7 linked regions of the Mus musculus genome follow. The protein of the gene in region 6 interacts with the protein of the main gene of each other region in a pairwise test. Links are inferred from orthologs where the notes say so. Each region holds a gene or a part of one and is shown on either strand. Other genes may lie near its edges. The genes, in order: Rflna, Casr, Pelo, Myoz1, Fabp1, Flna and Hspb7.

The links.
Region 1: the proteins of Flna (region 6) and Rflna interact in a two-hybrid assay, tested with the Homo sapiens proteins (2 studies listed by BioGRID). The two-hybrid records come from large-scale screens. The link is inferred for Mus musculus from reciprocal best matches to the Homo sapiens genes FLNA and RFLNA.
Region 2: the proteins of Flna (region 6) and Casr interact in a two-hybrid assay, tested with the Homo sapiens proteins (2 studies listed by BioGRID). The link is inferred for Mus musculus from reciprocal best matches to the Homo sapiens genes FLNA and CASR.
Region 3: the proteins of Flna (region 6) and Pelo interact in binary tests that used the Homo sapiens proteins (3 or more experiments, as listed by UniProt). The link is inferred for Mus musculus from reciprocal best matches to the Homo sapiens genes FLNA and PELO.
Region 4: the proteins of Flna (region 6) and Myoz1 interact in binary tests that used the Homo sapiens proteins (3 or more experiments, as listed by UniProt). The link is inferred for Mus musculus from reciprocal best matches to the Homo sapiens genes FLNA and MYOZ1.
Region 5: the proteins of Flna (region 6) and Fabp1 interact in binary tests that used the Homo sapiens proteins (3 or more experiments, as listed by UniProt). The two-hybrid records come from large-scale screens. The link is inferred for Mus musculus from reciprocal best matches to the Homo sapiens genes FLNA and FABP1.
Region 7: the proteins of Flna (region 6) and Hspb7 interact in binary tests that used the Homo sapiens proteins (3 or more experiments, as listed by UniProt). The two-hybrid records come from large-scale screens. The link is inferred for Mus musculus from reciprocal best matches to the Homo sapiens genes FLNA and HSPB7.

What each region holds. Positions count from the first base shown.
Region 1 is NC_000071.6:125,001,598-125,006,443, reverse strand, and holds the start of Rflna (refilin-A), read right to left. Parts: upstream 2,997-4,846; 5' UTR 2,877-2,996; coding exon 2,706-2,876; intron 1-2,705. UniProt on the Homo sapiens protein: Involved in the regulation of the perinuclear actin network and nuclear shape through interaction with filamins. Plays an essential role in actin cytoskeleton formation in developing cartilaginous cells.
Region 2 is NC_000082.6:36,559,017-36,563,984, reverse strand, and holds the start of Casr (extracellular calcium-sensing receptor precursor), read left to right. Parts: upstream 1-1,850; 5' UTR 1,851-2,131; intron 2,132-2,182; exon of another isoform or gene 2,183-2,555; intron 2,556-4,968. UniProt on the Homo sapiens protein: G-protein-coupled receptor that senses changes in the extracellular concentration of calcium ions and plays a key role in maintaining calcium homeostasis.
Region 3 is NC_000079.6:115,087,334-115,091,609, forward strand, and holds Pelo (protein pelota homolog), read right to left. Parts: upstream 2,826-4,276; 5' UTR 2,587-2,825; coding exon 1,861-2,586; intron 1,629-1,860; coding exon 1,197-1,628; 3' UTR 1,022-1,196; downstream 1-1,021. UniProt on the Homo sapiens protein: Component of the Pelota-HBS1L complex, a complex that recognizes stalled ribosomes and triggers the No-Go Decay (NGD) pathway.
Region 4 is NC_000080.6:20,653,167-20,658,005, forward strand, and holds the start of Myoz1 (myozenin-1), read right to left. Parts: upstream 3,375-4,839; 5' UTR 3,266-3,374; intron 2,201-3,265; 5' UTR 2,183-2,200; coding exon 2,110-2,182; intron 637-2,109; coding exon 458-636; intron 1-457. UniProt on the Homo sapiens protein: Myozenins may serve as intracellular binding proteins involved in linking Z-disk proteins such as alpha-actinin, gamma-filamin, TCAP/telethonin, LDB3/ZASP and localizing calcineurin signaling to the sarcomere.
Region 5 is NC_000072.6:71,202,358-71,205,847, forward strand, and holds the end of Fabp1 (fatty acid-binding protein, liver), read left to right. Parts: intron 1-729; coding exon 730-822; intron 823-2,546; coding exon 2,547-2,597; 3' UTR 2,598-2,677; downstream 2,678-3,490.
Region 6 is NC_000086.7:74,243,469-74,248,450, reverse strand, and holds the start of Flna (filamin-A), read left to right. Parts: upstream 1-1,916; 5' UTR 1,917-2,014; coding exon 2,015-2,387; intron 2,388-4,982. UniProt on the Homo sapiens protein: Promotes orthogonal branching of actin filaments and links actin filaments to membrane glycoproteins. Anchors various transmembrane proteins to the actin cytoskeleton and serves as a scaffold for a wide range of cytoplasmic signaling proteins.
Region 7 is NC_000070.6:141,422,745-141,425,810, forward strand, and holds the end of Hspb7 (heat shock protein beta-7), read left to right. Parts: intron 1-1,134; coding exon 1,135-1,314; 3' UTR 1,315-2,566; downstream 2,567-3,066.

The sequences.
Region 1 (4,846 bases), on a different chromosome or scaffold from region 6:
TCATCAGCAGCTCTCTATCCTGTCCTGAAGCCAGGTTTTCTTATGAATCAACCAGGAGACCCTGGGGAGGCAGAGTCTAACCCACTCTGCTTCTTGTCACCCCCTGTCATTCAACAGTGAGCCCCGCCCCCACCCCACCCCACACACATATAGAAGGGGCTGTGGTCTAAGCAAATACCTAGAGAGCTGCCCTGGTCAGATCCCAAAAGTCACCCATAGTCCCCTGTGGGCCATAAAACTAGATGAGGAGGGGTGCCCGGGGGCAGGGGAGGGGGCAGTGCCCAAACTGCTTGTCTAGTGTTTGGAGCCTGTTTCTGACACAGACCTGTTCTCAGCCAGCAGGACCTGGCTTCCCGCCATGTCTGCCCCACACACCACAGCTCTGTGATGGAAGTATTGGGGGCGGGGGCACCTGGTGTTTATCATCTGGCACAGAAATCCAACTTGGGAGACCAGGGTGGCAGAGCCAGGGTCAGTTTGCTTTCGTCTCAGTCCTGCCTGGACGGCTGAGCATTCTTGGGGTGAAGGTGGCAGGCAAACAGCCCCCATTCCAGCCAATACATCTTGCTCTCCTGGGGCCACGTGGGAGGGCAACACAGGCACACACACACACACACACACACACACACACGGCTACTTTCCAGTTACATCTCTGAAAGAGGCTTCTAATTTGGGGGTCCTGGGCGCTCATGGTACTGTTTTTTTAAAAAACAAAACAAAACAAAAACAAAGCATTAGCTTTCAGCCTCAGCCTAGCAGAGCCTGGCCCAGATTCTCCTCCTCTTCTCTAAAGCTCTACCACAGGACATTGGCATGTGCCGTCCTCTTAGACTGAGACAAGTTTGTCGCCCCATCTGCCTAAAATCCACTCCCTGATTTACCCTTGGCTTCTGCAGCGTCATTCCCTGACTGTCTGTAGCAGTCAATCTTACATACATGGTAGCCATTCACTCCTGGCTCCGTGTCACACAGTGAAGGTGACCGTAGCTCCCCACTAGTACGATGGTGCTATGTAAGGACACCAGGGGACACCTGACCACCTTCCAATAGCTTCTTCCAGTTGAAACTGGCTCCCCAAGATGTGGGCATCCTTCTTTTATCCCACACAGTAGACCAACCAGTTGATTGGCAACTGTCAGCCTGCCTATACCTAGGCCTCAGAGTTAGGGCCTCAGAGGGGACCAGGATGCTGGCACTTAGATGATACAGTAGGGAAGGAATGGAACTCAAGAAGGTGGGGACCCTTGTGGGTAGGAACTGGTAGATAGGCAAGTGGGCGGGGCCACAACTGGACCCCCAAACCTGAGGAGGGGTTGCCATGGCTACTACCTCCTCTCTTGATGACCTGGACCCTATGGCTACACATTTAATTTCTCTGCTTAAATAGTCAAGAAGCCGTTAACGCACTACACAGTGAAAACCAGGGCAGATTTAAATGTGCACTGGAGCCAGGTTCCTGGGGTCAATTCTGCTGGGCAACTTTGGGTAACTTCCTAACCATCTCTGCGCCTCGACTGACTCCAGAACATGAGGAACAAAGGCAAGCAAGCAAGCAAGCATTCACAGACTGTGAGGACTAAACAGAAGTGGGGAGACCCATCCCTGGCTTGAGGGAAATGTCATCTACCAGGTGTCGTTGAGTAATAGCCCCCAGGCTTCCCTGCCCAGACAAAGTCACAGACCAGGGCAGTATAGCTCCATAGCTGGCGCCTACTTAGCCAGGAAAGGCAGCAGTAACAGCAGCAGAGCTATTCTCACTACTGCCTCTGGCTGACCCAGAAGGCATGGGAAGTATCCTGAATGCCCTGCAGAAGGAGGCTTCGGGGTCACAGGGAATCGAAGCGACCTCTTCCTGGTGCCTTCTTTCCATCCCCAAAAATGTTCCCTGGAATTTCTTCCCCCATCACATCCATATTGAGGTTCCTAGTTTTTTCCCCCCTCCCTAAGAACAGCATTGCTCGATTATATTAACTTCTAAAGTCCTTGATTGCTCCACCCACCCTCCCAAAAGAGACACAGAAGTTCAATTCAAGACAGGCTTCAAACTTCCTTGCATGTTTGAGTCACCTGGGGAGATTTAAAGAAAAGTTCCGACAACCACATTGTGCCCTGGATCGGGTCAAATGTCTGGAGGAGGATGCTGGACGTGGCTTGGAGCCTCAAATGCTTCCAGCGCCGCCCTGCACGCACACCTTGGCGGGAGAGTCCTTAACACACCCGGCCGAGGCCATCAAGCCACAGGGCCATGTTCAACCTCTGCTCTGTTCCACCACTCCTTTCTTCAAGTTGCTCCCTCTGCCCCGTCGCCAGAGCAACCTGGGCAGAGTGTCCAACCCCTAGAGTCCCAGCTCCGGGGACAGTTCCACTTCTACACCTATAAGACGAAACCTACGGAGGCTCTCGACCCGAGCTGGGTTTGCAAAAAATGCCTCCATTGAGAAGCCCTGGGAGGTCAATAAGGTAGGAGGCGGTGGCAGCAGCGACGGGACCCACGGACAGATAGCCACAACAGGCCCCCCTTGTAAGTCTGTAGAGTTTGGGGCATCGGGATACTACTCTGTATTCCTGCCTGACAGCAATCACCCCGAAACTTCCAGCCTACAGGTCCTGGTGAGTCGGGTGCCACTCCACGTCTGCCTCAGAAGAGGGATGAGACCATGCTGGCTTCTGAACGGCCCTCCCACTGCCCAATTCCCAGGTCTTACCGCTGGAGCTTCAGTGGTGGTCCGGGTGTCCAGGGTGCCTGGCGACAGGGCGTAGAAGGGCGGGCTAGGACTGGGACTGGGGGGCAGTCCTGAATCGGGACTGTCCAGCAAGCCGTCGCGGCTCTGCTCCCGCGTGTCCCCCATGGCCTGCAGATGCAGGTGACCCACCATGACTGGCGGGCGCGGGGCGTGGGCCCCAGCAGCTCGGGTCCCCGCCACCACTGAGCCAGAGGAGCAACAAGGAGGCTCCGGCCTGTGGCTCCAGCTGAGACCCGCTCCTGATGCAAATGCCTCCAGCCGCCAGCTGAGCCTCCTTTCCCAGGCACCGCCCCCTCCCCGCCCTCCTCCGCCCGCGCCTCTCGCTCCCGCCCCCCTGGCCACCCACTGGGCCAGGGCAGGGTGAGGACTGCAAAGTCTCCAGCCTGCAAAAGTCACTGCCCCCACCCACCCACCCACCCTCCGTGGTGCTGACTTGGGTCCACAGCCACCTCAGCAAGGACGCTCAGCCATCAGCCGGGCCATTGCAGGTTGCAGCGTCCCTCACCTGGCTTGAGTCTCCAAGAAAAGCACCTTCAGCTACCTGTGGGTTGGGGATGGGGGTGGGGCGGTGTATTTACAGTGAGGGACCGAATGATCTAAGAACCCAGGGTCAAGATCTGCCCTAGGGGCCACCAAAGTGCTCATCTCCATTTGCTTCGGTGAATTCGTCTGGACAGGGAAGCCTGGGGCCACTTGGGCGCGGGGAATGAAGGACACCTGATGTGTAGCTGGCATTCCCTTGGCCAGCCCTCCTGTCTCTGTTTAATCCTCCCAGTCGGCCTGTGAGTGCCTGCTTGCAGACGCTCTCCATTTTCTGGAGGAAACTGAACTACAGAGATGGTTAGGAAGTTGCCCAAAAGTGGGGAGGGGGGAGGGGAGCGGGGACACTTCCAGATGCCCCCAACACCTACTTTTGTCAGGGGTTTCCCTTGTGGTGACTCCCAAACATGAAATGATTTTTGTCGCTACTTCCGAAGCGTAATTTTGCTACAGTTATGAACCATAATATAAACACCTGTTTTCCGATGGTCTTAGGGGCGTTCCACCTTCCTGCAAGGGAGGTGGGTCTCGACCCACAGTTTGAGAACCACTGCTCTAAAAGGTCTCACTTGGGGACAAAGTTATGCCTCCACCCCGTCTCACTTGACCACCAGAGCTGAACACATGGTTCCCATTCTGCCTGCTTTGCTGGCAGGGACTGAAGAGCATCCCACCCACCACCTGCCTCCAGCCTTGCATCTGGACACAGAGGCCCAGACACCTGCAGATTATTTATGAAGATGTCAGGATGGCATATAGCAAAGGAGACAAGTGATCCCCTGCTAGGCCATCTACCCCATGTCTGCTGAAGAGAGGGAGGGACCCCAGCTTCAGAGTGGCCCCTAGAGGTGTGTCCTCCTCTGTAGGTTGGCCAAGTCCTCAGGGGGAAAGAAATCAGAGGCAGTTGTGCCGGTCAATCAGGGAGGGCCTCTCAGAGGAAGCAGCACTTGAACAGAATTGCAGGTCAAGGGAATAGCAGGGTACAAGGCCCCATGGCAGAAGAGAGCAAGCTGGCCCCAGAGGCTGTCACAGTGGAGCGGCAGGCTGAGCCCCGTTATTAGAAAAGCATACGGCCCAGATCTGTCATGTAGGAATGATCTTGGGGTTTTGGCTGCCCAAATGGAACCCACAAGAAACCTCACCCAGGGCCCTTTAGCTAGAAATGGTTGCTGTCTTTCACAGAATAAAATTGGTGGCAGTCCTCTCTGGAATGTAAAGGACAATATGGCCTTCCCCAGTGCTGGGTGCTAGAGCCTACTAGATACCACTTACTCTCTAGAAAAAGCCCTAACCCCTTAAACTCTCAACATCCCCCAGAGAACCTTCTGGGAGCCACCGAAGGTGACCTGAGGACAAGTTAAGGACCAGTACTTTGAAAGTGCAGGGTGAGCCAGGCAGGGATGACACATGCCTTTAATCCCAGCACTCGGGAGGCAGAGACAGGCAGATCTCTGAGTTCCAGGACAGCCTGGGCTACACAGAGGAACCTTGTCTCGAAAGAGCAAAACCAGCAACAGTGCAGGCTGCCTTGGCTCTGCTTCAAACTTTGATGTCAGGCGTCT
Region 2 (4,968 bases), on a different chromosome or scaffold from region 6:
GTGACGATATTAAATTCTACTTAGGAGCTGTTGCCTAGCAAAGGCTCTGAGGGAGAGTCAAGCTCTGTTGTTAAATCAAAAGATTAGCAAACCTTAGGGAGGTGTAAAGATAAATAGCACAAAAATCATCCTTCCTCCTTGACCTAATCCACAGGAACAGAATTAGAAAAGATGCAACTTCTTTGACTGGTAAGACACTGTTCTTAGAGTCAGGGTCCCACGCTACTCAAAACCAAGCCCTGTGGAGGATGCATATTCATGCACGCTGTTCAGGTGGCCACGCCCTTCACGTATTCAAGCTGACTGAGGGTAAGCCTCAACTCTACAGCTTCATAGCTCTTCCATCCTCCATACCGTCACCTCCACGGGCTCCAGTCTCCCATGTAAAATGGGCATAGCAATTGCTCCTGGGAGTGTCACTTAACCAAACCCCAATTCAAACATTATTGGAGAGAATTAATACAACCTGATCATCTTGGGGTCTCTCTCTCAGCCGCTGGGTTGAATTATGCTGTCTGGTCCAAGCAACCATATTGTTGAGATTCCATGGTTGATTTCTCCCTGTTGTGGTTAGGAAACACTATCTCATACCAAACATCATGGGTCCCTGCCTCTTACAATCTTCCTCCCCTCCCCGATCTTTCATAATTTCCCATGAGCCTTAGGTGCAGTTGTTTTATGGCAGGTGTATCAGTTAGGGTTCTCCATAGTCCCTTATTTTCTGTATTGTGTAATGAACAGTCTCTATCTGTTGGGAAAAAACTCCCTCCCCCCTTTATTTTTTAAAAAAGAACTACACTTATCTGTAGAAACATGTCTGCCATGATATGAGTTCCCCTCTCAAACCTAAGACTTCTCTAAGCACAAGTAGTTAGGTTTATGGTACCAGGCATGAACTCATCCCTATGGAGGGAGTCTTAGTTGATTAGACAATTGATGTTTATCCCCATGATAAAAGTACCATTATTGGACTACTATGGATGTCTGGCTGAAATACTCATTGTGGTTCATAGGAATAAACACTATCTGTTCTAAGAAGACTGGGAGGCACCGAAGTCTCCATGCTTGCATTGTAACGGTTGGGTAGGATTCCATTAAGCCACACTACCTTAAGTTCTTTAACCTATTTCCTATTGGCAGGTTCGGTGTTGTTCACTTGTTGCTTTTATTTTGGTGTGTGTGTGTGTGTGTGTGTGTGTGTGTGTGTGTGTACACATTCATGTGTGCTGGCCTTTCACCTTACTCCAGAACAATGTCTGTGGCTTTATAAACACGTTAGCGCCTTAAGGTCTCCCATTTTGATGTAGGAGTCCTGGGATTGCAGACACGCTATGCAGCAGGTTTCGTATGGATCCCAGGAGCTTGAACGTAGCTCTCCTCTGTGCTTGATGGGCATAGCTATAACGCCATTGTTTAAATATTATTATTTTATGTTGAAAATGAACCTGTTATATATATTTGCATCGCAACATTATTTTATTCTGGAAATTACTACAAAGTACTGCAAAAATTGTTTTGGCTGTTTCTATTTGTTTAGTTTGTGTTCGTGTGTTCGTGTGTTCGTGTGTGTGTGTGTGTGTGTGTGTGTGTGTGTGTGTGTGTGTTGGCTATCAAATTGCCTACACAAAGGAGTTGATAGGCTTTAGGGCTGAAAAGCAAATGCTGGGTTTCTACCAAATAAATTGATTTTTCCATTTCATTCAAGTATTATGATGAGTGGCCAGCGCTGAGCCAGAGCCTGAGCACAACTGTGAGCCAGGCTGGCCTCTCCTACCTTCAAGAAGCACACCCTGATGCTGGGGCAAAGCTTACCAGATCTCTGGGGTAGTGGAGGGAGGGGGCTGTTTGTGTACAGCCCGCTGAAGCAACGCTGGAGTCTAGCAGAACGCCTAAGAGTGTTTATTATACTGTGAGTTCTGGATCTTTACTAGGAAAAAAGTGCCCCATCCTCTGGCACAGTTGCCTTGTGATCCTCTTTCCATCTCCAGGGAGGAGCGGGAAGCGTGTGTGCTGCGGGGAAGGAGGGGGTTGTATCTTCCCAGACCAACAGCAGGAGCAGGATCGGAAGCCTGGGATGGCTAGAGCCTCATCGCAGACAGGAGGACTCCAGCGCTAGACCTCGGTCTCTCAGGTACCAAACCCGACAGGTGGCCTAGGGGGAGGGACGTCGCGCCCGCAGCGCCGGAGCGCACAGCTCAAAGGCTGACCTGAGAGATCGAGGGAGCCTGGGAGATTCCAGGCGGGCTAGGGCACGGACTGTAAGTGTATTTGGAGGGATTTGGGGGCCATAGACCCCAGGAAGCACGCAGGCGAGAGCAGGCAAGGGGCGGAGCCCCGAACCGGGCCACAGTGGCCGTCAGAGGGTCTGCTGGGAGGCAGTGGCTTGACCCAAGGCGAACAGGGAACTTTAGAGGGTAGCACGCTACTCAAACAACTTAACTTGACATCGCAAGCCCGGCAGACTGGTACTGCATCCTGAGCTCAGCATCCAGCTGGTCCTGGGGAAACAGGGCCAGCAGGTGTTCCTGTGGAAAGAGCCACGACAAGGACTCCAGGTAGGACTTGGGGACACCAGAAGTGCGGGCATAACGTACCCGAGTGGCAGAGGAGGCTTTGATGAGGTTTGGGGGCAGCGAACAGTAGCAGGTCAGACCTGGGAGCCCTGAACGCTGGGCTTCAGGGATAGCGGATCGGATGCCTACAAAGATGAATAGAGTTCACAGTAAAAAAAAAAAGTGGGGTGTGTCTTGTGCCTCCGGTTTATTTATCCCTGTGACAGTCAAAGAGAACTTTTCCCACTGACAAGGAGAGAGGTAGCTTTCTGGCGCGGGCGTGTGTGTGTGTGTGTGTGTGTGTGTGTGTGTGTGTGTGTGTGTGTGCGCGCGCGCGCTGCCCTACCAAAGTACTTGCCTCAGTGGCTCCAAATTAGGGTGTCTGGTCACCAGCCTCCATATTCCTTGGAGGTAAAAAAAAAAAAAAGTAAGTTGATGGAGTTATTGTTTTGATATTGTAGTTTTTGATTAACAACACACACGGTAAACTTGGAAATAACACCAATGCATATCTAGAGACCAGTTTCCTTTCTAACATGAGTTTACTCATTGTGCTTTCTCTCTTCAGTTCTGAGTCTTTTATCTCCCTCCTTCCTCTCTTTCTCAGTATTCTGAGAAAGAGGCATGCTGGGGAAGAGCTCCTAACAAGTTCCCACCCGTTCTTCTCCAGGATTCCTCAGTGCAGTAAAGTGGTGCGGTTCACTGTTGGGGGAGGTGAAGGAGGGCTGTCTTGCCAAACTCTCTGCCGCCTAGAATTCATTCCCCCTCCCATTTGGACTCCAGGCTCCAGGTTCCCAAAGTGGCATGCTTGGGGTGTTCCCTCTGGAGGACTTGGAAAAGTGAGCTTTTAAATTGGCCCTGTGAACAGGGCAAGGCTTTGTGATAGGCAGAGAAAAAAAGAAAACACAAAGGAAGAAATCAGGGAGACCAGGGAACAGTGAGGGAGCAGGAGACCAACATCTTTGAGAGCAGAGGAACCCCGGGCCAGCCCCTGTCATTCAGGAGCTGACCCTGGGGAGTTTTGCTAAGGGAACACATGTGGTCTTCATGCTGATAACTCACATCATCAACTCTTTTCCATAATCAACGAATCAAACCATGTTTGTAGATTAAGACAGAGTAATTGGTCTTATTTTTTTTTACCGGTATAGGAGGTTCTTTAGAAGCTGTGTAAACTGTTTAAAGTAACCTCCATCTATGCCAGTGTCCCTTGTTTTCCTCATTTTTCCTTTGTTGAACTGGATCCTGCAAAGTTCAGGCATTAGCTGTTCCCTCTCCTGCAGACTTAAGGATGACGTTGTAACTAGAGAATGGATTGGGCTGGGTGCAGGTGCAAGGCTGATGAGGGGGTAGTGCATGACTTATAAACAGAGACACAAAAATGTAAAAAACATCAGTATTCACTTAACGTGTTTGTAGAGCCTAGCTACACACCAGATCCTGGGAACAAGATGGTCAATAAGACCAGACAAGGAACCTGCCCTCCTGGTGCTTACAGATGCTTGGGGGAGGGCAGCTGTCAGTAAAATGATTATCGACTATGTAATTGCAAGCTAACATAAACCCTCTGAGGGAAAGACACAAAGTCCACTGTGGGTGTACATAGATGGGTCTGTGAGACTTGGGAAGGCTTTCCCAACAGAGCTCACTGACCCTGAGGTTCTAGGGTGATCAGGATGAAGAAATCTGATTTTTGAGGTGAGGTCAGACCGTTTTGATTAGGAATAGCATTTGGCTGCTGGTCACCAAACAGACTGGCTGCTATGAAACTTTTGTCCCTTGATGTGTGTCCACGTGCTGTTGGTGTTACCGGCGTGAGGGGAAAGAGTGTCTTGTCGTCATAGGCTGGCTGTGTTGTCTGTTGGCCGTGGTTTTTTTCATTGCTATAATTCTTGCTTTTGAATGAAATGTTCAGATTAACTTAACTCCTATGATTTCATTTTATTGTGTACCATAAAATGTACACTGCTGTATAAATGTGAATCATGCACCTTCCCATTGAGAAGGTAAATACGGAGATAATACTTCTGCTGCTTATGTGGTGACAGTTTGGCGTTATCACTGAATAGCATCCCAGGTTAGAATAGCTGTGGCAGGTGGACTGCAAATATTGCCCCTCTATCCCTAGCTACTGCTCTCATTGGAAGGATGTGTCACACACACACACACACACACCCTGGGAACTAATTCCTAGCCTTGTATACTCGAAGCTCCAACTCTGCCTTGAGCCACAGCTTCAGCTTGTGTATTTCAGAAGAGAGGGGTATTTAAAAGATTTAGAGTTTTAGTTACTATAGATTTTCATAACCAGCTTTTTAGTAAAGGCAAATATATTGTAACATATTAACAATTGTGGTGACGCTGTAAATGAATAAAAGTCCCACAATGTAAGGTCACAGCACAGATACTCTAGAAA
Region 3 (4,276 bases), on a different chromosome or scaffold from region 6:
ATATCATGAGTGTATCAGTTCCCAGCATCATTTATCCAAAAATAACTCTAAAACATGTTATATACCTCAAGGAAGCCAGCAGATAATAAAACCTTAAGTATATAGGATAAAGACATCTGTGATCCAGACTTCAGACAGAATTCCTAATCATGTGCTACACTGAGGCTTGTAAAAGATCAAGCTGCAATCCCTAATTTCCAAGGTTCCCTCTCTCTGAGATCCAAGCTATGTAGTTCAAAATATTCTAAACGGTAATTTGTAGAAATTCCTCATCTACAGTAAGGATTACTAGACTACAACTTCATGAATCACTCAACTCCCTGAACATGCTTTCTTCAAATATAGCATAGTCCAGTAAGAACATGAGCGCACAGACTAATGCCACAGGCACCCTGGGAACATTTAACACTGACAAGCCATAGTAAATAAAACACAGGAAGATATGGTACCATTTCCATGTCAAGAAACGTCCAGTTTCCCCATTCATCAGCCACACAGTAAGCAAGCCACACTCTCACCTCAGCTGTAGAGGCCTGATGAGACTATGCTGAGATGTCTAGGAGATCAAACCTCTACTGTCTGAAAATAATTTCTCTACAGAAAATAGATTAGAACCACAAAGAGCAACAAGCAGATCTTTAAAATGATGTTTAACAAATCCCTGAAAGAAAATAACATTTAGACTGGCTTTATTTACTGTTTGGCTACCACTTCAAATCGTGAATGTAGTCAAAATCTTGCGGGGGGGGGGGGGGGAGGGGGGAAGGGTGAGGGAGGGGAGGGGGAAGCTAGAAAGAGGTGAAAAAAAGTGGAGCATGAAATGAAATTCGGAAACACCAAGTCGAATGGAAATAAACATCAAAAGAGATAAAAGCCTTTTAGGAGGAAAACCAAGAAAAGTTGGTATGTGGGGTTTCATCATCAAACCCTCAAACAGCCTTTCTTTTTTTTTTTTTTTCTCTTAACTACACAAGTTGCTGTTTCCAGGTATTTAAAAAACAGTAACTCGAACTAGAAAACATAAGCTTGGACATCGTCGTGATTTATTTAATTTGAATACATGTCCTGCCCACCAAATCATAAAACACTTAATGTGAACCCAACACACAAGAAACCCCAGCAGGATCAACAAGTGCTGCTCTGGCACCTGCCAAGGATGCTGAGAAAACCAGGGAAGAAACTATTAACTGCCAGTCTTAATCCTCTTCAGAACTTGAATCATCCTCTTGGTCAGAAAGTTCTGGCACTGGGAAGCGGAGAATGGCGGCTACTCCCGTCAGCTGGCCCAGCTGTTCCCCCGACACATGGAGACTAGAGAATATCCTTACGGTGCCCGCATTCTCCTTCACACTGTCCACTAGCCTGACATACCGGCTCCGGGTGGCCACATCCTGATGCCGGAAGAGCTCGTCACTGATGAGCAAAGTGTCTATGGCCAAGGCTTCGTTGGCCCTCTCCACCTGCTTGAGTCCATAGAACGCTCGGTCGGGCTCGTGCTGTAACATTTTGTAGAAGTCATCCAAGGCTTTTACTTCGCCCGCTGCCTTTGTGTCTGAAAGGCGGCTCGCTACAGTAGGGTCGCAGAGGGCCTCTTTCAGGGAGTACTTGTGTCCAGAGGAGGCGTGCACCTAGAATCACAATTATAAAAGACAAAGAATCTCTGAAAGTATCCATTAATCAGCCCACGATGACATTTGACAAACACATGAATAAGGCCTAACCTGTTTAAGGACTTGGACAACTTTTTAAAGTGCTAGATACTGCAGGGTTCAGTTACAATCTCATTTATAGTCCCAGCCAAGCCTTCGGCTCCTCCCCATTCTAAAACATTAGGAAACTCTCTCTGGGTAAGATTTTTACCTGAAGGAATTTGGAGCGGTTTTCCAGGAGCACTTTATTGTCCGTCTTCACAGCTTGCTGAAACATGTAATCGCAGAACTGCTCTCGCACGAATCCAGGGCTGGCCACCAGAACGCACTTTACAACCTCGAAGTTTATGTGGCGCTGGATGGCCTGGACCACCTGTTCATAGAACCGCTCCAGGGCCCGGTCATGCTGGGAGCAGTTGCCTTTCCGTTTCCTGGGGATGTTCACCTCCACCTTGGCCCGGGTAAGGGTCATGCTGGGCGTGACTAAGCAGACGTGGGCCAGGCCCTCCTGCATGACCACAGCTGCCACATCAGCGCTCCACGCCGGGTCGCAAGCCTGCTCGATGCGTTCCAGAACCACACTGTCCCACTGTTTCTTGGCCAGGGTGAACTGGCGGTTGGGCTCCAGTTCGATGGTGTGGTAAGCCCCCATCTTGACATACTCATTCTCTTGGATATTGGTCCCCTTCACCCGCAGCTGGCAGGCCTGGGAGTCGAAGTCGATGGCCTCCACGCAAAGGGTGAGGGTGGTGCGGACACGGTTGCTCCCCACGCTGCCTGTGGAGGACTCGGTCTGGACCTTGCGGATGGTGGAGGCGCGCAGGCTGTCGCCCACCTGCACTAAATTGAAGGTGTGCCACATGTCCTCGGGCTCCTCGGGGACGAGGGTGACCTGGCCCGCATTGTCCTTCTCGATATCCTTCCTCACGAGCTTCATGACCTCAGCAGGGGCTCAGTTCAGAACAGGGGACGCTAGGGGGGGGGGGGGTGTCCCCAGGAGGGGGGGCCGGGGCAGGGAAGGGGCGGCGGGCTCAGGCCCGGAAGGAAACACTACCTCTAACTCTTGCAGCTCGGGACAGCACTTTTACCCCACGCTTTTTCTCAAGTCTCCGCGCGCTGGCCCACGCGCGGCGCGGCAAACCTCACGCTCAGCACGAGTCAACTCTCGGGACTTCCAGTCGCCGGCCCCGCGAAACCGGCTGACGCGGCGATCGCGCAGGCGCAGCCCGCCTCCCGGCGCAAGTCTGTTGTGGGTCCCTACCAGAGAGGCGGGGCCTGTCGGCGGCGCGCGCACGCAGGCGCAGTAAAAGGAAAGGCTCGCCCTAGATAAACGTCAAAGGAGGCGGTCAGCGCTCTGAAAAGCTAAGCTTTTCCCGGCACATCCCTGTGTGCGAGCACATGCCAAGTACGTGAATGCAAACATATGTATTTAAGCTGGATTTATCATTCTGCACCTTAGCGTGAAGCCAGCTTCAGAACTTATATAAAAGTGAAAAGCGCCCTCAAAAGTTCAGACTTGCCCCCCCCATCCCCGGCGAAGTTCAAACTCTGCCTGGCTTTGCTCGCTCTTTCCCTACCAGCACTCAGACCGACGAGCTTGTTGGCTCAGAGAGATCCAGAAGCGGTTTCTAAGAACTAGTCACGTACAGTCTGGGCTCAGCAACGTGTCCAGCTGTTTTCTGCGCCTGTTACCCTGTTTGCACGATCCAGTTAACCCAGATGTTAAAGGACAGAGCCCAGAGAGAGCAGTGGAATGCGTGGAATGTACCCCTGGTGGACCTCTATGTAGCTTGACCTGATTGATGTCCTGGGAATCCCAGAATCCAAAGTTGGCCGACTCAGCGCAGTAGTCTCTGAGGCGTTCAGTGTGGGAGCCGGACTGCAGTAGATTAGCGCTCGATCTTCCCTGCCACTGACTAGCCAAAAGTTGAGGATATGGGAAGTAAAGATAAGCTAATCTAATATGACCACCCCAAAAGAAGAGCCAAAGAGTTGGTTGTAAAGGAAAAGAAAAGAAAAAGAAAAACAAATAAACAAAAATCCATTCCGTTTCTCCCATCCCCTTTGGTACAGTGGCGATGGAAATACAGAGAAGTCTCTTTCTGAATGAAGACAGTGGGGGGAGCAGAGAAATCCTGACCACTTAGGCTCGCTCACTGCGTTTTGTGTAAGGATTTTAAAGCAGAGCCTTAATTGAGGAGAGGAGGTTAAAGGGAGGGTTAATCGTGTTAACTGATGTCAGCCATCTTTCTTAGAGGTTGGTGTGTGTTGCGGGGGTGGTGGTGGTTGTCCAAGACTCCAGTATAAATTTGCACCTTAACTTGCTTTGTATCCTCTCTCCCCCCACTCCGCACCCCCCTCCCATCTAATTTACCATCTTCTTATCACAGAGCCTCTAACTCACATTGCTTTGTTCCTCTAAAGCCTTTCACCGAACCAGGCACGGGTCTCACTAAAGCAAGAAAGTAGACCTTCCTGGACTCTTAATGAATGAAAGGTTTTCCCTGAAATACTGTCAACTTTTGAAAATTTCTCAAGCACTTTCTCACTCTTATAAGGAAAATGCTACCCTAATTTGAAACAATAAATAAATAAATAAATAAATAAATAAAACGAAGTTAGGAGGA
Region 4 (4,839 bases), on a different chromosome or scaffold from region 6:
TCTGCCTCCCGAGTGCTGGGATTCAAGGCGTGCGCCACCACGCCCGGCTGATTCTGTAGGTCTTAATTCTTGTTTTATGTCCCCAGTAATACAAAGAAAAGAACACATTTTAGTAGAACGTTACTAATTGTGTATCTTAGCGTCAAAATATAGGACTGAGTGTCCCGTGTTTTATCTGGCGACACTATTTTAACACGTAGCCACACTGGGAAGGAATTTTCTCCCTATGGGTATGGTCCTCATGCCTGCACGTGCTCTAGGATGAGGACTAAGCTTCAGAAATGGACTGTTACCCACCCTAGACTGGTTGGGAATGTAATATATGTAGCAGCTTATAAAGAGCTCCTCAGTTCTCATGGAGAGAAGGTTGGTGGTATTTGGGGAATTTGGGGGGCTACTGAGAAGTTGCCGGGAAAGACACCGGGCTTTGCCAAGAGTGGTTGACGTCCATACTCACCATTGAGCTGTCAGAGAAAACATCGGGGTGATTCTCATAGATAAATTTCTCCACCCGCATCTGCCGTAGCTTGAACATCTTGGAGCCTCGGTTGGTAAGAAGGGACAGCTCCTCCAACATCACATCCCTTGGGACACTGATCTTCTTGCCCAGGTTCAGGCCTGAGCTCTCCCGGCCACCTTATCCAGGAGGTAGAGAAGAATCAATAGAAAGAGGAAATGAGGGCTTTCTGGACTGGGAAGGGAAGCATCCCCCACAGCTGAGTATATTCTAAAAGAGACCATTTAGGGAGCGGATGCTGACCGGGTCTGTATGGTTTACAAGTTTTTGTTAGTCTTGTGTGTCTTTTAAAAGATTTTTCAAAAATCTATTTATGTTTTATATTATGACTGTTTTGCCTGCATGTATATATGTGTACCAAATACATGCCTAGTGCCCATAGAGGTGAGAAGACGGTTCAGATGCCCTGGCACTGGAGTTACTGGTGGTTGCGAGCCACCTTGTATGTGCTGGGGACTGAACCTGGATCCTCTGCAAGAGCAGCAAGTGTTCTTAACCACTGAGTCATCTCACCATCTCTTCAGAGTGTGTGTGTGTGTGTGTGTGTGTGTGTGTGTGTGTGTGTGTGTAAGTGAGTGTGTATTTGAGACAAGGTCTTATTATGTAGCACTGACTGGCCTGGAATTCACTATTAGACTGATTTGGCCTTGAACTCACAAGATCTCCCTGCCCACTGTCCCCTTCCCTCTGCACCTTCCCCCTTCCCCCTGCCTCTGTCCCCTGTTCCCTACCCCTGCCCCTGCCCCTGCCCCTGCCCCCTGCCCCGGCTCCTTCTGCCACCTCCTAAGTGCTAGGATTAAAGGCATGCACTACCATTCGTAGCCCATAAGAAGTGGTTTTGTTTTGTTTTGATTTCCTGGCTTGGAGGTAGAGACAGTACAGGGGAACAAAGGGAATGACATATAGGGTTGGAATACTTCAGTGAAGAGGTGACCCAGCCAAGGGGCATGGGCGTGGAGTGAAGGAGAACAAGAATAAGAGAACACCACAGACAGTAGCCAAGGGAGAAATTACACCCTGGGCCGGGAAAGCTGATAGGCCAATCCCACGTGCAGCTTCACACCTCTAAACACAGATCCTGCTCTTCTTTCCTTTCTTTTTTTCTTCAGTGAACTCTCACTCCAAAGGTATCAGGGGAACTTCACACTTGGCAACTCGTGCGCATCCCCAGGGAGTGTGGCTGTGTAGTTTCCTATTTTAAATGCTTACACAAGTTCCCTAACACTTAGAAAGAAATAAGGAAGTTAACCATTTGGTGAGGCCTAGCCTGTGTTCTCACAGGACTTGACTGACTATGGGTCCTGCTAAAATGTCCAGTATCTTAGCAGGGTGTTGTCTCAGAGTAATCAATGGGAAGGATGGGAGGATGCAGAGTGGATGCTGAGTTCTTCCTGTGTCTTTCTCCTGCCCCTTCTCACCCCTCCCATCATCCCGTCTCCCACACCCTCTACAGCTGCAATTCCTCTTGTTTTTTTTTTTTTTTTTTTTTTTCACTCTGACTTATATCCTGTCTTACATCATTTCTGGGACTCTTGAGTCAGGCATGCTCTTAAAAGTCCTGCATTGGGGCTCTACAAGCACGCACACCCTACCTCCAGTGAGCTCCATAATCAGTTTGCTTGACTTCCTCCTCTTGTTAGGGGCCGGGGTTCCTGAGAGTGGCATGGTGGAGGTGGATCTGACCTGGAAGGAGAGATGGAGTGGGAGAATGAGCATCCGCACTACAGCCGTACACTTGGGATTAAGGACAAAATTTCTTCAGTTTTTTTTCCATGTGCATGTTTGCATGTGTGTGTGCACGCATGCATACGTCTTTACAGAAATTAGTATTCCCCAGAACGTAAACTGTCACAGTCTTCTGTTTTCTTTGGAAGCAGGACAGGAGGAAGAACTGTACCCTTTCCTTATCTCTTACCAAGGGCTGTGTCCACTTTCCATAGCTCCTGTGTGGGCATCGGAAATACAGCTAGGGCCGAAGGGGGTTTCAAAAGCAACACTGGCAGAGCAATGCACTCAGGCTTCCTGGGCCTGGCGTGACTTAAAGTCCTTATTTGTATCGGGATATCAGACTACAACTGTGGCTCCAGACTCTAGTCTCCTCCTTAGGCTTCCCTTGGGGTCCATGGGCGTAAAGCAATGTTCTGCTAATTAGTGTTGAGATTCAGACGAAACCTTCTCCATAGGAAGGAGAGGTTGTTGATCTTCCAGGAGGCCAGCTGGAACGTGGCCCGAGAGGTCATGGGTATGTTCCTTGTTCCTTCAGGCACTCCGATCCCAAGGTTCAGGGCTGGAGCAGAGAGCTAGCTAAGGGCATTTGAGCTGTGGCAGATGTCAGCTCAGCAATATAGTACGTGGAAGTAGAGAATTGTGGGGGGAACAGAAACACAGGAATAAGATCTGGCCGTGGATGGCGACAAGATAAGAAAATGTATGCACACCATCCTCTCCCTAACAGCCCTGCTATTTTCCGTGGTGTCCTGTCTCACAAACACAACCACACTCTACCAACTTAGTGGCATTCCAAAGCACCCTTTCCCATCTGTCAGGTACCTCCCCACATATCTTAATTCCTCCCAACTCCTTAGGTCCCTTTCTTTCCAACTCTGTAACTCCAACTGGACTGTTGGCAGCTGAGCAGAGATGAGAAGAGAGACCATTCCCTGAGGATGGAGAATCACAGTTGCAAACAAGGAGCTCAGAAGAGTGGGCTCCAGCCCCTTCTTCCGGTAGATAGAACCATAGACTTACCAGCTGCTCAGTTGGTGGTCGGCTCTCCCCGGGGTCCAGCAGCTTCGGAGGACTAAGCTGCAGTGACTAGAGAACCTGAGCCGGGGCGAGCGAGCGTAGGGGCAGCACCGGCAGTGGGGGAGGGAGGAGGTTATTAATAGAGTTGATGAACACAAGCAGCTCAAATGGCACAGGGGGTACTGAGACCCTGGAACCGAGAGCCTGCCCTCTTTGCCTGAGGTTCAGGAAGAGGGAAACAGGGCTACAAAATGTTCCCACCAGACTGTCTGAGCCAGGGATCAGTCAGCCGAAGGGGTGTGCCTCCTCCTTGCCTTCTTTCTCCAAAGAAGCATTTCAGGAGGCCGAGAGGGAGCAGATAGTGGTGGGTAAGAATTAAGAGTAGGTATAGGAAAAAACAAAACAGAAAACATGAATTGTGGGCTACTCAGGGCCATTCCAGGCCAGGGCTGGAGGGGACCCATGAGTGTATTTGTGGGTGGGAGGGATTAAAGCCCTAAGTTGAAGATAGGATGGAAATTTTCACAGTGGCATTGCTTCTAACTTCCTGAATAGGTTGGCTTTCTGTCTAAGAGGGTTAGATCTTGACAGGGTGAGGAACCAACTTAGTGAACCCTAGTGCAGATGATCTTACAAAGGCCCGTGGGTACTCTCAACCTGTGGGTCCTGACCCCCATGGGGGGTCAAACAACCCTTTCATAGGGGTCAATGTCAGATATCTCAAATATAGATATTTACATTATAATTCATAACAGTAGCAAAATTACAGTTATGAAGTAGCAACAAAAATAATTTTATGATGCCAAGCATGGTGGGTGGTGCACACCTTTAATCCTAGCACTTGAGAGGTAGAGACAGGTAGATCCCTGAGTTCCAGGCTAGCCTGGTCTACAAAGTGAGTTCCAAGACAGCCAAGGCTACACAGAGAAACCCTGTCTCAAAATAATAATAATAATAATAATAATAATAATAATAATAATAATAATAATTACTACTACTACTACTACTAATAATAATAATAATAGGGGCTGGAGAGATGGCTTAGTGGTTAAGAGCACTGAATGCTCTTCCAGAGGTCTTGAGTTCAATTCCCAGCAACCACATGATGGCTCACAACCATCTGCAATGGGGTCTGATGCCCTCTTCTGGTGTGTCCAAGGAGAGCAATGGTGTACTCATATACATACTATAAATAAATTTTTAAAATGATGATGATAGCAGTAATTTTATGGTTGCAGGTCAACACAACATGAGGTACTGTATTCAAAGGTCACAGCATTAGGAAGGGTGAGAGCTGAAGCAATACCCTGGATCCTCCCTCATCTCCCACTCATGTCCTGAAACCAGCTTGCTCCTGTACCTTTTACTCTTATACGGCTGCCTAAGGAATTGGCTTTTGGGGGTGGGTGGGCATGGGTGTAATTTAGTAAACATATGAAACTATAGGTTTCTTGAGCCCAGCATAGTGATGTATGCCTTTAATCTCAACACCCCTAAAGCACCGGCAGGTGGATCTCTTAAGTCCCAGAGCTATACAGGAAAACCTTGTCTCAAAAATCCTTATGACATTTTTACAC
Region 5 (3,490 bases), on a different chromosome or scaffold from region 6:
AGGGCGGGGTTTCTCCTGATTGGTTCATGACAAGGGTTGGGGTGTCAGTTTTACTACAGCCCTTTTTCAATGTCCACTGTAGAAGCAGATATTTGATGTCTTTTGCTCTTGATTAGGATTCTCCCCTCCATCCCTCTCTTACTTCCTTTCCTTTCATTCTTTTCCCCCCTTTAGCATTTTGCCATGTAGCCCATACTAGCCTCAAACCCAGCATGCTCCTGCCTCACGAGTGCTGGAAAGCCTTAAAGTACTGTGCCCAGCCATGATTCTATTTACTACTGTCCTTGATGTATACAGCTTGGAATTGGCACTACAATAGAAAGAAAGAAAGAAAGAAAGAAAGAAAGAAAGAAAGAAAGAAAGAAAGAAGGAAAGGAAGGAAGGAAGAGAGAAAGGAAGAAAGAAAGACTCAGTAACCACCGAAGTAAAATGAATTCCCACCCCCACCCCCAGCTGCTGATGATTGGAGTTTTTCTACCTCCTCCCTCTACAAGCTTGAGAAATGGGATTTTATATTTTATTTTCAGATTTTTCCCCCAGGGCAGAACCACTTAGGTAAGCTTGACATTTTCTTTCATTCATAAATATGCCCTATTTCCATTTAGCACCAAAGAACTGGAGAGGGACAGGACATTTGATTCCTTGTCAGTTGATACCATGCAGGGAACCAACTTCATTAGCTTCATTGCCAGGCCTTTGCTCACGGGCCACCCTCTGTCTTCCCTGCAGGCAGTCGTCAAGCTGGAAGGTGACAATAAAATGGTGACAACTTTCAAAGGCATAAAGTCCGTGACTGAACTCAATGGAGACACAATCACCAATGTAAGTTGACCCTCTGGTCTTGCCATCCAGTGCTTGAGGTGAACGGTACGGTGTGTTTGTGTGAGTGTGTGTGTGTGTGTGTGTGTGTGTGAAGGATAAGAGACAGCTGGATGCCATCTCTCATTCTTCACCCTTTCCCCCCAAGACCTGGACTCTCTCTTCCTTGCCTCTTGTCAATGTCTTCTACCACCTAAGAGGATGCATATGTACTACGGAGTTGATAGATATCAGATCTATTGAACAACACTTTTCTAATCGGAGAAAGTAAGGCAGAGACCAGAAGAGCAGGTCGAATGGCAGCATCAGGGTTTCCTGGCCTGGGTCTGTCTCTTAGGCTAATCTCACAGCAGTTCATTACTCAAGCAAACCCCAAGGGAGGCTGTTTACACTATAGACAGTGAGGATTGCACTCAGGACACCTGCAGCCATCTTGTTCTTGTCAAATCACGGCAGAATATCAGGGTGATTCCCTGACACATAGAAGAGCGGTATCTTGAGGGAGGGGCACCCTTTTCTAATTCACCTGGTGTCTCACACCTTCTTGTGCTCCACTTTCAGAGTCAGCCACTCCCCTGCCTCTGCCTCTCTCCTCCTTGTCCACTCCCTGGCCTTACCCTTTTCCCAGCAGCAGCAAACGGGATGGGTGAGGAGGTGTGTGGTGTGCTGAGGCACAGGACAGCATGTGCAGAGCATAGCTGGCCTTGCCCTGTTTCTGCGGCCATGGGGCCTCACACCTCACACTCAGGCCATAGGACAGAAGTCCATTCAACCCAGAGATGTCCCAGACTTCACTGTGTCTGCAGACATCCTGTCCAGGAGGCCTCACGACTGAAGTTGCAGCAGCACTTCCCATCGATGAAAACCTCCACAAGGGAGGCTTTGTATGTCCATCGATGTTCCTATTTGATGACATCAGAGTGATTAACAGCCTTAGCACTAACCAATGGGCCACACAGCCATCCATCTTCCACAGCCCAGGTGCCTAATAAACACCTCTGCCCACTTGGCATTGGTGTGGAGTCATTCATTTATCAAGTTTATGGCTGCTAATGAATGACACGCTGGGTATGCACTCCCGTGCAGTCATCCTCCATGCCCAGCTGTTGGTCATGTATTGCCCCCGCTACAGTAATTCATAGTGTTTCTCTCATGGTCAGGTCTTCCAGCTTTCCTTTGTATCCAAAATGCACCTCAGTCAGGTCACAGAAGGCAAACCCCTGTCTAAGTGACCGCATCTGGTCAAGTGAAAATCCCCCTGCACCGTGGAGAGAGGGGGGCATCAATCAGGAAACAACATTCACGCCCCACACTCTTGCCCCTCACTCCTACAAAAGAGCAGGTGTGTTCAGTGTTCTCGTGTGCTCATTCACACCGTCCATACAGTAAGAGGGAAGTAGATAGCACCTACTACGTTCCAGCCTAGTGGCCCACTGTACATATGCTTGTGTTCAGCCACAGGTAGTTAATGTGCAGGAAATCTCAATGAAATTTTGAAAGACAGCTCTCCCTCCATATGAACAAGAGAAGTGAGGAGACCCAGCATGCTATTCTAGAAAAGGTTGCCAATCGCGCCTCAGCTCCGAGAGAAAATGGGGATTTTTCAAGTTGTTTAATATGTCAGCACATTTGGGACTATTTGGGGCGGTTACTTTTTGTTTGTTTGTTTGTTTGTTTTACAATTCATCATCAAGAAAATATTTCATAATTTCTCTTTTGACTTTCAGACCATGACATTGGGCGACATTGTCTACAAGAGAGTCAGCAAGAGAATTTAGACAAGGCTATATTTCATATTCTTTTACAGTGTAAAATTAATACAATAAAGTTACCTTTCTTTTGGAATAACTTCTCCTTGATGGCTTCTCATTGTGGTGCTGTTGTTTTTATTTTATTGGTGTGTGTGTGTGTGTGTGTGTGTGTGTGTGTGTGTGTGTGTTGGGAATTGAACCCAAGGTCTCACACATAAACTCTATCACTGAGTATAACCCAAACCCTGTTGTTTTCAGTGATCCTTGATCACCGATAATTTTTTAAAATTATAATCTGTGTACATCACTCCATATATTCAGATCTGTAGTTTAATTTCACCCTGAATACAGATTTCCAACTCATGTGTCCTAGTCAGGAATGTTAAGAGTGGCCAGATCTGTAGAGTGTCCAGTGGACCTTTTGCCTGTCAGCCACATGGGCAAGAAACTGGAACAAGAGGGTATTCAGGACTCTGAGAGAGTCCCTGCATAAGGACAGGGATCCGGAAGACCAAACTGTCAAGGGGGAGCCACTGCCGCCGTGAGCACAGCCACAAATGGCCATCCAGCAGTGGACAAGCTCTAAACGGTTGGGCACTCAACTACCAAATTAACATCTTTTTCTTTTATTGGAGGGCTTAATGTACAGATGTGGCACAGGTGTAATTCCTCCCACAACATGGACAGAAGCAAAAAGCAGAAAATGGAAGCAACTCTCTGAAATCTACATTGTCCCAAACTACTAGGGGTTTGATATGAGTTTAACAGCAGGCAGCAGAAATCTACACATTGAAATCCTAGTGCCCAGCAACTCAGAATATGGCCTTATTTGGAAACAAAATTACTGCTGCTGTCTAAGGCCATAGAATAATATGGTAGGCTTCTAATTCAATAAGGCCAATATCCTTTTTGTTGTTGTT
Region 6 (4,982 bases):
AATAACATGGCTGGAAGTTTCCATTTGGGTTATCCCTGCACAGTTCTGCCATCATGTCCCCCAACTCAACCTTTGGCTCACTTGGTGCAGATATTTATGCAGGTGACTGGAGGTAGAATGGGGGGGAGGGATTCTGTACTGAAAATGTTATTTGACTGGCGATATCATAGACAATCTCAAGATGACTATGCTGAAAGGTTCTGCCCATTGTGATCAAAGCCCTATCATAGCCCTACCACAGGCAATGAAGACACTCCAGGCTGTGGGAGAGTCAACCATATTTGGGCATGACATGTTGGTCAACCCAAGGCCTCTTTCAGCCACTGGTCTTTATCTATCTATCTATCTATCTATCTATCTATCTATCTAATTAATTTTATGTGCATAATTTTGCCTGCATTCATGTCTGTGTGAAGGTGTCATATTCCCTGGAGCTAGAGTTACAGACAGTTGTAAGCTTTCATATGGGTGCTGGGAATTGAATCTGGGTCCTCTGAAAGAGCAGCCACTGCTCTTAACCACAGAGCCATCTCTCCAGCCCCGGCGGCCACTGGTCTTAGAATTGAGAAGTAGGGACAGAAGCCTGTCTTTCTGGAAAAACAATTTAACATTCTGGAGAGGCTTGAAGTACAGAGTAAGTAGATGGAAAAGTCTACCACGGGAAAGACATAGGTAAGATGAATCCCCTTAACTAAAGAGGATGGTTGGGAGTATCCCCTACAGTTTTCTTTTTCTGTATCTTCGCTCCTTTCTGTCCCAGCACAGCATCCTCATCACTATCTCCAGAGAATATCTATCATTAAATTAACTTTTAGTGAGTAGCTTCACACTACTTAGGGAACACACTCAGGCTCCTTAGCAAGCCTTGATGTCTGGTGACTCTCCTTTCTTCAGTAATCTGGGACCCTCTCCCTGAGCCCCTCCACATCTCTAGGGTCACAGCAAGGCTTGGGACTGTTCAGCCAGAGAAGACCTCTCCCCCCAGAATTCCTCAGGGCCCAAGGTAGAACAGTGAGTATGGCAGGTACAAGGTGTACAGATCTACATGCATCACAGGGCAGGCAGGCAGGCAGGCAGGCAGGCGCCCTCTGATTGTGTGCATTGGCATACCCTGGACCTTTGGAAAGCTGCTTGATCCTGTAGTGCTGGTGGCCACTTGGCCCAGTGCTGGCCCCATTTCCTCGCGGATGGAACTAGGCAGTAGAGAAGACGACGGTGGGAATGGGCCTGTGCAGGTGTGCAGGCCAGGGTCATGGAGACTGGGAAGACCAAAGGAGATGGGTAGGGAGTGCCAGGGCTCTGTGGGTGTCTATGTTAGGTGATGAGAGCCCTGTCTGACAGCATACAAAGAGCTCTCAGCAGCGTTAGGCGCTCTGGAAGGGTTCGCTCACAGGATTGCTTTACTCTGCTGTGGATCACACTGTGGCTGAGAACCCTAAGCTCGGGAAGAATAGAGAATGTAGAAGAGGGTACAGGGTCAGGGCGGAGCCCAAGTGATACCGGGACATTATTCGCTCCGCCTTCTGCAGGGACCTTGGGGAAAGAAAGTCCCTTGTAAGGGTGTGCCTGCTGGAGCTGAGCAATTCTGTGACAGAATTGCTCAAGCGTTCCTAGATCTGGGGTCCGTTTCCTGTAGTACTGTAGCGGATGTTGCCAGACCTTTTTGTGCTCTTTGGGGCTCAAAGACCCTTTCTGAAGCAGCGGGGCTGAGTTGCTTTTGGCGGAGTGCAGAGGCAGCTTCGGGGGATGGGGGCGGGGGGCGTTGTGGGGCATTCCAACGGGAGGGGCGAGGTGGGGCGGGCGCGGCCCAGAAGCCCCACCCAGAGGCTCCGCCCCCAAGGAAACTTTGCCTCTGGCTCCGCCTTTCGCATACATTTAAAGGGCTCGCTCTTTCCGCAGTGCAACCTCTGTTCTGTGCCTCGTCGTTCATGCTCGGAGGTGCCTACTGCTTTAATTAAAGGGCCGTCCCATCGGCGAAGCTGCAGCACCGCCCCTCCGTTCCTCGCGCCTCAAAATGAGTAGCTCTCACTCCCGCTGTGGCCAGAGTGCGGCGGTTGCGTCTCCGGGAGGCAGTATCGATTCACGGGACGCGGAGATGCCGGCTACCGAAAAAGACCTAGCAGAAGATGCACCGTGGAAGAAAATTCAGCAGAACACATTCACCCGCTGGTGCAATGAGCACCTTAAGTGCGTAAGCAAGCGCATCGCCAATCTGCAGACGGACCTGAGCGATGGGTTGCGGCTCATCGCGCTGCTCGAGGTACTCAGCCAGAAGAAAATGCACCGCAAGCACAACCAAAGACCCACTTTCCGCCAGATGCAGCTCGAAAATGTGTCGGTGGCGCTTGAATTCCTGGACCGTGAGAGCATCAAGCTCGTGTCCATAGGTGAGGGCACGGGCTACACTGGGGCGCTGAGTGGGTGCGGGCGTGGTCGCAACAAATTCTTCCTTTCTTCTCCTCTAGAGTCTCTCCTAGTTGTCTTCCCTAGCTGCTGCACACAACCAAGGCTACCACTAGGCCCCTTAGCCGCCTTGTTCTTTGAGGTCCTCGAGAACAAAAGGCTGGCCTGGCGAGCATGCGAACCGCTACGCGCCCCCGCCCGCAGCGCCTTGCTGGCCTGCTCCCAGGCTGAGCTCACATCCTCTGTAGGCCGCGCCCCCAACGCTGCACCCGAGGTGGGACAGGCACAGACTAGGCTTCTGCCTCTGAGAGCCGCACCCCATCCCTGGGATACCCATGCTTTCCACCTACAACAATTTTAAAAGTACCCTTCTAGCATTTGGCTGCCTCTGCAGTTCTAAAGTGAAGGTTGTAGCTTGTTCTCCTATTTATGTAGGACTCCCTCAACTTCTTGCCCTGGAACATGCTTCCCCATTGGAGATAGTTCAAATCCCCAGTTTCTTTCTTTCTTTCTTTCTTTTTTTGCTGAACTTGGAGGGGGGCAAAGAGATATACTGCTGGCAAAACTGTACTCCAGGTGTAATGAGTGTGGTTGACTAAAGGCACGAGCACTTGGTTGTTAGCTTTGCTGTCTATCATGGATCAAATTCTTGTTTCATTGTAAACCTTGGTTTTGTACATCTAGAATGCAGAGATTGGTTGAAAGGTGCTCCAATGTGCACAGGGTTTACTGCTAGTCCAGTTCCCAAGTCTTTGAACTGGAGAGGTTGGCATTGGTATTGTCTCTTGCAGGATCCCATGCTTTTCTCAAAGTAGGGGCTGCTCATGGACAGGCACCAGAATTGTTATCTTGGGAATGTGGAACAGGGAGAGTAGAAGAGTGGACCTTTACTCCATAATACAAAGGGTTTTCTATTATCCTTACAACTTTGGAATGGTACATGCTAGTTAAAACAGCGAGGGACCAAGGCCCTTCAGAGAGCAGATTTTAAGTGCTGAGTTTTTTTTTTTTTTTAAATGCTCATAGAGGTGTGCCAGTGGATGTATGAAAACTCACCCCTAGTCCCAGCCTCAGTCTAGCCAGCTGAGTCATTTCTAAGTCTTGGAAGGGGGCAACCGGATGTGGGGAGGCAGGCCACACCCCAGCTCTTTAGGGGGGGTCTCCTCCCTCCTTCTTTCTCCCCTCCTTCTTGTGAGCTGGCTGGAGCAGGCCTAGTTCCCAGAGCTTTGCCATATAAGGCAAAAAAATGTTGGAAAGCAGCAGTGATTAGGGGAGGGAGGGGGCCGGCTGGCCCAGGGGCTGGGGATAAGGGGTGGGATGGGGCGGGGCCATCTTACCAAGCTGCTTCCCAACACTGGGCCCTGATCCTCTCCTCTTGGGAGGGATATGAAGCTGGCATAGCTCACCTAATCAGACCAGGGGAGGGACCAGATGTACCTTACTGGGATGATGGGTCTGTCTTTGTTCTTCCCCTTGGAGACTACTAAGGACCTATGATCTCCTTGGGGGTTTTTGTGATGGGCCTGTGGCTTTGTTTGGTAGGGTAGGATCTTTGTGTCCTTGACTTTTTTTCAACTTCCTTTCCCATCCTCTCTGTATTTTGGAACAATGAAAAACATTCTCGAAGGGCCAGGACCAGTTTGTGAATGGGAAAGATCACTCTGTTTGAGAGGCTCAGATAGCAGTTCTCCAGGTGCTTTCCCACTGCACTGGAATGTTACCTGCTCTCTCAGTGATATCCTAGTTTTCATGACCATTCTCCATTGACTCACTAGATAAACATTCTCTGATTACAGGGAAGTCCTGTAGGGTTTCCAAAGATGAGCCTTAGAAAATGCTACTCACCATAAGCCATCCACCCTTGAGGAGGTTAAAGAGGTGGCTTTGGGTGGGGCTCAGGGGAGTTGCCATAGTGATGGGTGTTTAGGGTGCCCGCCCTAACCACTTCCTTTGTGGTAAGCCTGGTGGCTGCCTGAGACCTAGCCCGTTAGGTGGCAAGTAGGCTGGGTGGTGAGTAGCATCTAAGCAGGTTATGCTGAAACAGCAGGACTTAAGAACACCACCCAAGGCCTCTGCAACAGGGGTTCCCAAGTGCTCTTTGGCACCAAAGGCAGGCTAACCCAGCCTACTAAGGACCTATGGTTTCCTTGGCGGTTCTACTCTTCCTCTTTCAGCTGGGCAATGGGGGCTGTCACCCCAGAAGTTCCCTATAAGCCTCAATGAGTCAGAACTAAACATAGTTCCTTTGACTTGTGGCCCCCTTCCCCAAGCTAGCCCTCTTTTGTTCCACCTCCTATTTACTAGTTTGGGGGTAGAGAGACAAGGAAGTAGCAAAGGGTGGAGCTCGCACCCTTTTACACAAGGATCCTTGCCAACACTTCCTCTGTCTTTTCCCCCACTCTGGAGCAGCAGTTGTATTTCCTAACTACTCTTTGCCAACTTAGCCTTCCTCTTCTTTGGTTCCAACCCAGCTTGAGGTCAGGGGCCCTGTTTCTTGGCCAGTTAGGGCTGAGCCACTTCTCCCAATTCCCATAGATCTCAAGATATTAGGGCAGGTCTTGATCTCAGCAGCTGTACAG
Region 7 (3,066 bases), on a different chromosome or scaffold from region 6:
CCCTGATTTATGTTCCTTCCCTGTCTGTACCCAGGGTAAACTACAGCCCTTTCCCAGTGGGCTCACGGGCCAGGGACCTTTACAGTCCCTCTCCAACCTAAGGGTCACAGAACCTGTCTTTGGGGACCATGCCATGGCACCTGAGGACCCTCTAGGGATGGGCAAGGGATCCTGGGATGAGGTCAGAGAGGAACCTGAGTGATGGAGATGTAAGGGGGGTGAGGAGATGAGGACAGTCACCATGGTGGAAAGTGACCACGGTGCAGGAGGGACAGCTCCCTGGCACAGGGTAGAGGAGGTGGCAATGACACACCCAACCTGGGCAACACGGTCCATTCCTACCACATCTCTACCTCGCCTTCATCCCAGAGCCAAAAGTCTGGGTCCTGTCGTGGCACCTCCATACTGGGACTGAGGCTGAGCAGAAAGCCCTGAAGCTGAGTCACAACCACCCTCCACCTCATGTACCTTACCCGGAGTCTCAGGGTACCTAGATCATCAGAGGAGCACGGCCAGCAGCTATCCCAGCTCTTAAGCCTGTGCTTAAGGATATTCTTAAATATTCTTAGAGGATATTTATCAACACCTTCCTGCCACCCCCAAGCCTGGCTAGCTCTCCTAACTCAGGCTGGACACTGGGAAACCCTGCCAGGGGTTCGAGGACTGCGCCACTGGCCGCACGTGCCAGCCCCACATCCCAAGAGTGACTCAGCCAGCCAGCTCCACTGAACACTATGTGCTGGGCTGCTCGTGGGGGAGGGCAGGGGCCCTGATGTGGACACTCAGGGTGCCTGGGGAGCCAGAGGGCACAGCTGTGTCATCTCCCCACTATGGCTCAAGAATCTCAGACTTCCAGTCACTGCTGTGGAAGCTCAACCCTTATTGAGCCCCACCCAGCCCCATCCTATACCCAGCTTCCCTGGGGACCCCTAGAAGGCCTCTGAGTCCCTCTGCACAGCCCTGGGATCCTGGGCACCCCAACACCCCTGGCCAGATCTTTTGTACCCTGATAGCTGAACCCCTCATCACACAGTGGGGTAACTGAAGACAGAGAGCAAAGACGAGACTCTGGCTTGATTTTGGGGTGAGGCTAAGGCTAGGGCAGCCATTCCTGACCTGTCATCTGTCCCCCAGCTGGCAGCTGATGGCACAGTCATGAACACCTTTGCTCACAAGTGCCAACTACCAGAGGATGTGGACCCAACATCGGTGACCTCGGCCCTTCGAGAGGATGGTAGCCTCACCATCCGGGCGCGGCGCCACCCCCACACAGAACATGTCCAGCAGACCTTCCGGACTGAGATAAAAATCTGAGGGTCTCTCCACCCCTGGCCTCCCCCTTATCTCCTCCCCCACTGGCCTGCCGGTGAGGTCACCATGATCCCTGACAATGACCCCTCAGAACATCTCAGCCTAGGCCCCAGTCACTCCACACACTCTCAGGCCCCAGGTGGGTCACCCCTGCCCCAAACTAGGGCATCCCTCTCCATCCAACGCAGTCCAGGGACCTGTCTGCTCTCACCCAGATAGACCCTCCCTATCTAAGTTCACAATAGAGGGGCTGAGGTACCAACCTGGAGAGCAAGACGAGGGCAGAGTCTAACACAGAGTGGCGGCTTCAATGGCATTTCTGCAGGGCAGGGGACCAGAAGCCCCTTCCTGGCAAATGAGAGGCTGGCCACAAGCAGGGCTTCTGGCCTAGGTAGACTGCCTCAGGGAAGCCAGAGAGATAGCCATGACTGTTACCTTCCTTGTAACTCTCGAAACCTCAAACCCAGGGCTACCTGTCACCCTGAGGCTCTAACAGCTACATGTACCAGACAAAGACACCTGTACCTAGATGGGGTTTATTAAAATGACATGAGGCTCCTATCTCCAGCTGCTGGTGCATGAGGCCAGAGCCCAGGGCTCCTGGGTGGCTTCCCCTGCAGAGAGGGTCCTCTTTGGAAGTGAGAGGAAGAGCCAGGACTTGTACACACACACACACACACACACACACACACACACACACACACACACACACACACACACACACACACACACGCGCGCGCGCGCGCGCGCCATTGTCCTATGCCTTAAATACTCATTCCCACTGGTTGGAGCCCAATTCAAAGCATTCTAAGAGTCACAGTTAGCATCTCTGTTTTCATCAATGGAGACTGGCGTCTCTGAGCCAGTTGGATGCCCAGGTTTGTCTCTGAAGCCAGCGCTGCCTCAGCGGCTCTCAGACTCTCCCCTCTGTGTACTGGGGACACTTCCCCCCCATTCCACCTCTCCTGAGCCACATGCCCTGCTTCGCCCTAACTGCAGATGGTGGCCACAAGAAGAACCCCAAACCAGATCTCTTCTGGCCCCCAAATTCAGGGCAAAAACCCTTGTCAGCCTTAACCCTGGGGGACCTGGGCTCTGACTCAGTCTCTGCGTGTAGAATCGGGTGTAAAGGGGGAAGCTCACTGCTAATCGGGGTCCCAGGGGCCTCTACAGTCTTAGGACCCTGTGGAGGAGGGGGTGGGGTGGGGTCGTGGGAGTCTAGTCTATAACCTGTACACAATAAAAGGACAATATGACAGACTTGTGGAGACCCCACCTGAAGTTCGACCTAGGAGGAGGGACGGAGTGGATGGGGAGGACTTCTCGGCTGGGGAAGGAAGCTTAAAGTTTCCATGTGTGGGAGAGGTATCCTATTCTCAAACCCGCTTGCAGAAATCCCCGCGATTTTCTTCAAAAACGCTTACAGCACCTGTCTCCAGGCTGCCTGCCCTTCGCTTTGAATTCATTCTTTAGTTCAAGAGGAATGTCTGAGCTGGACTCAGCCAGCACTGTGTTCTGCACTGTCACAAGCCAAGGGCTACAAACGTAGCCTTTCTCCTGGATGAAGCCTCGGAGGCCCAGAGAAGCTAAGTGATTGGCCCAAGCTCACACAGCTCCGAAGATACAACCAATTGGAATCAGGGGGTAGGGCCGCTGCAGGGTGGGGTGCTGGATAGATGTAGGCTTGGCGTGTTCTGGGTGGAGGGGGGTCCCCTCGCTCCTTACCCACCCCCCAGCCCCAGGAGCTACTGAAAT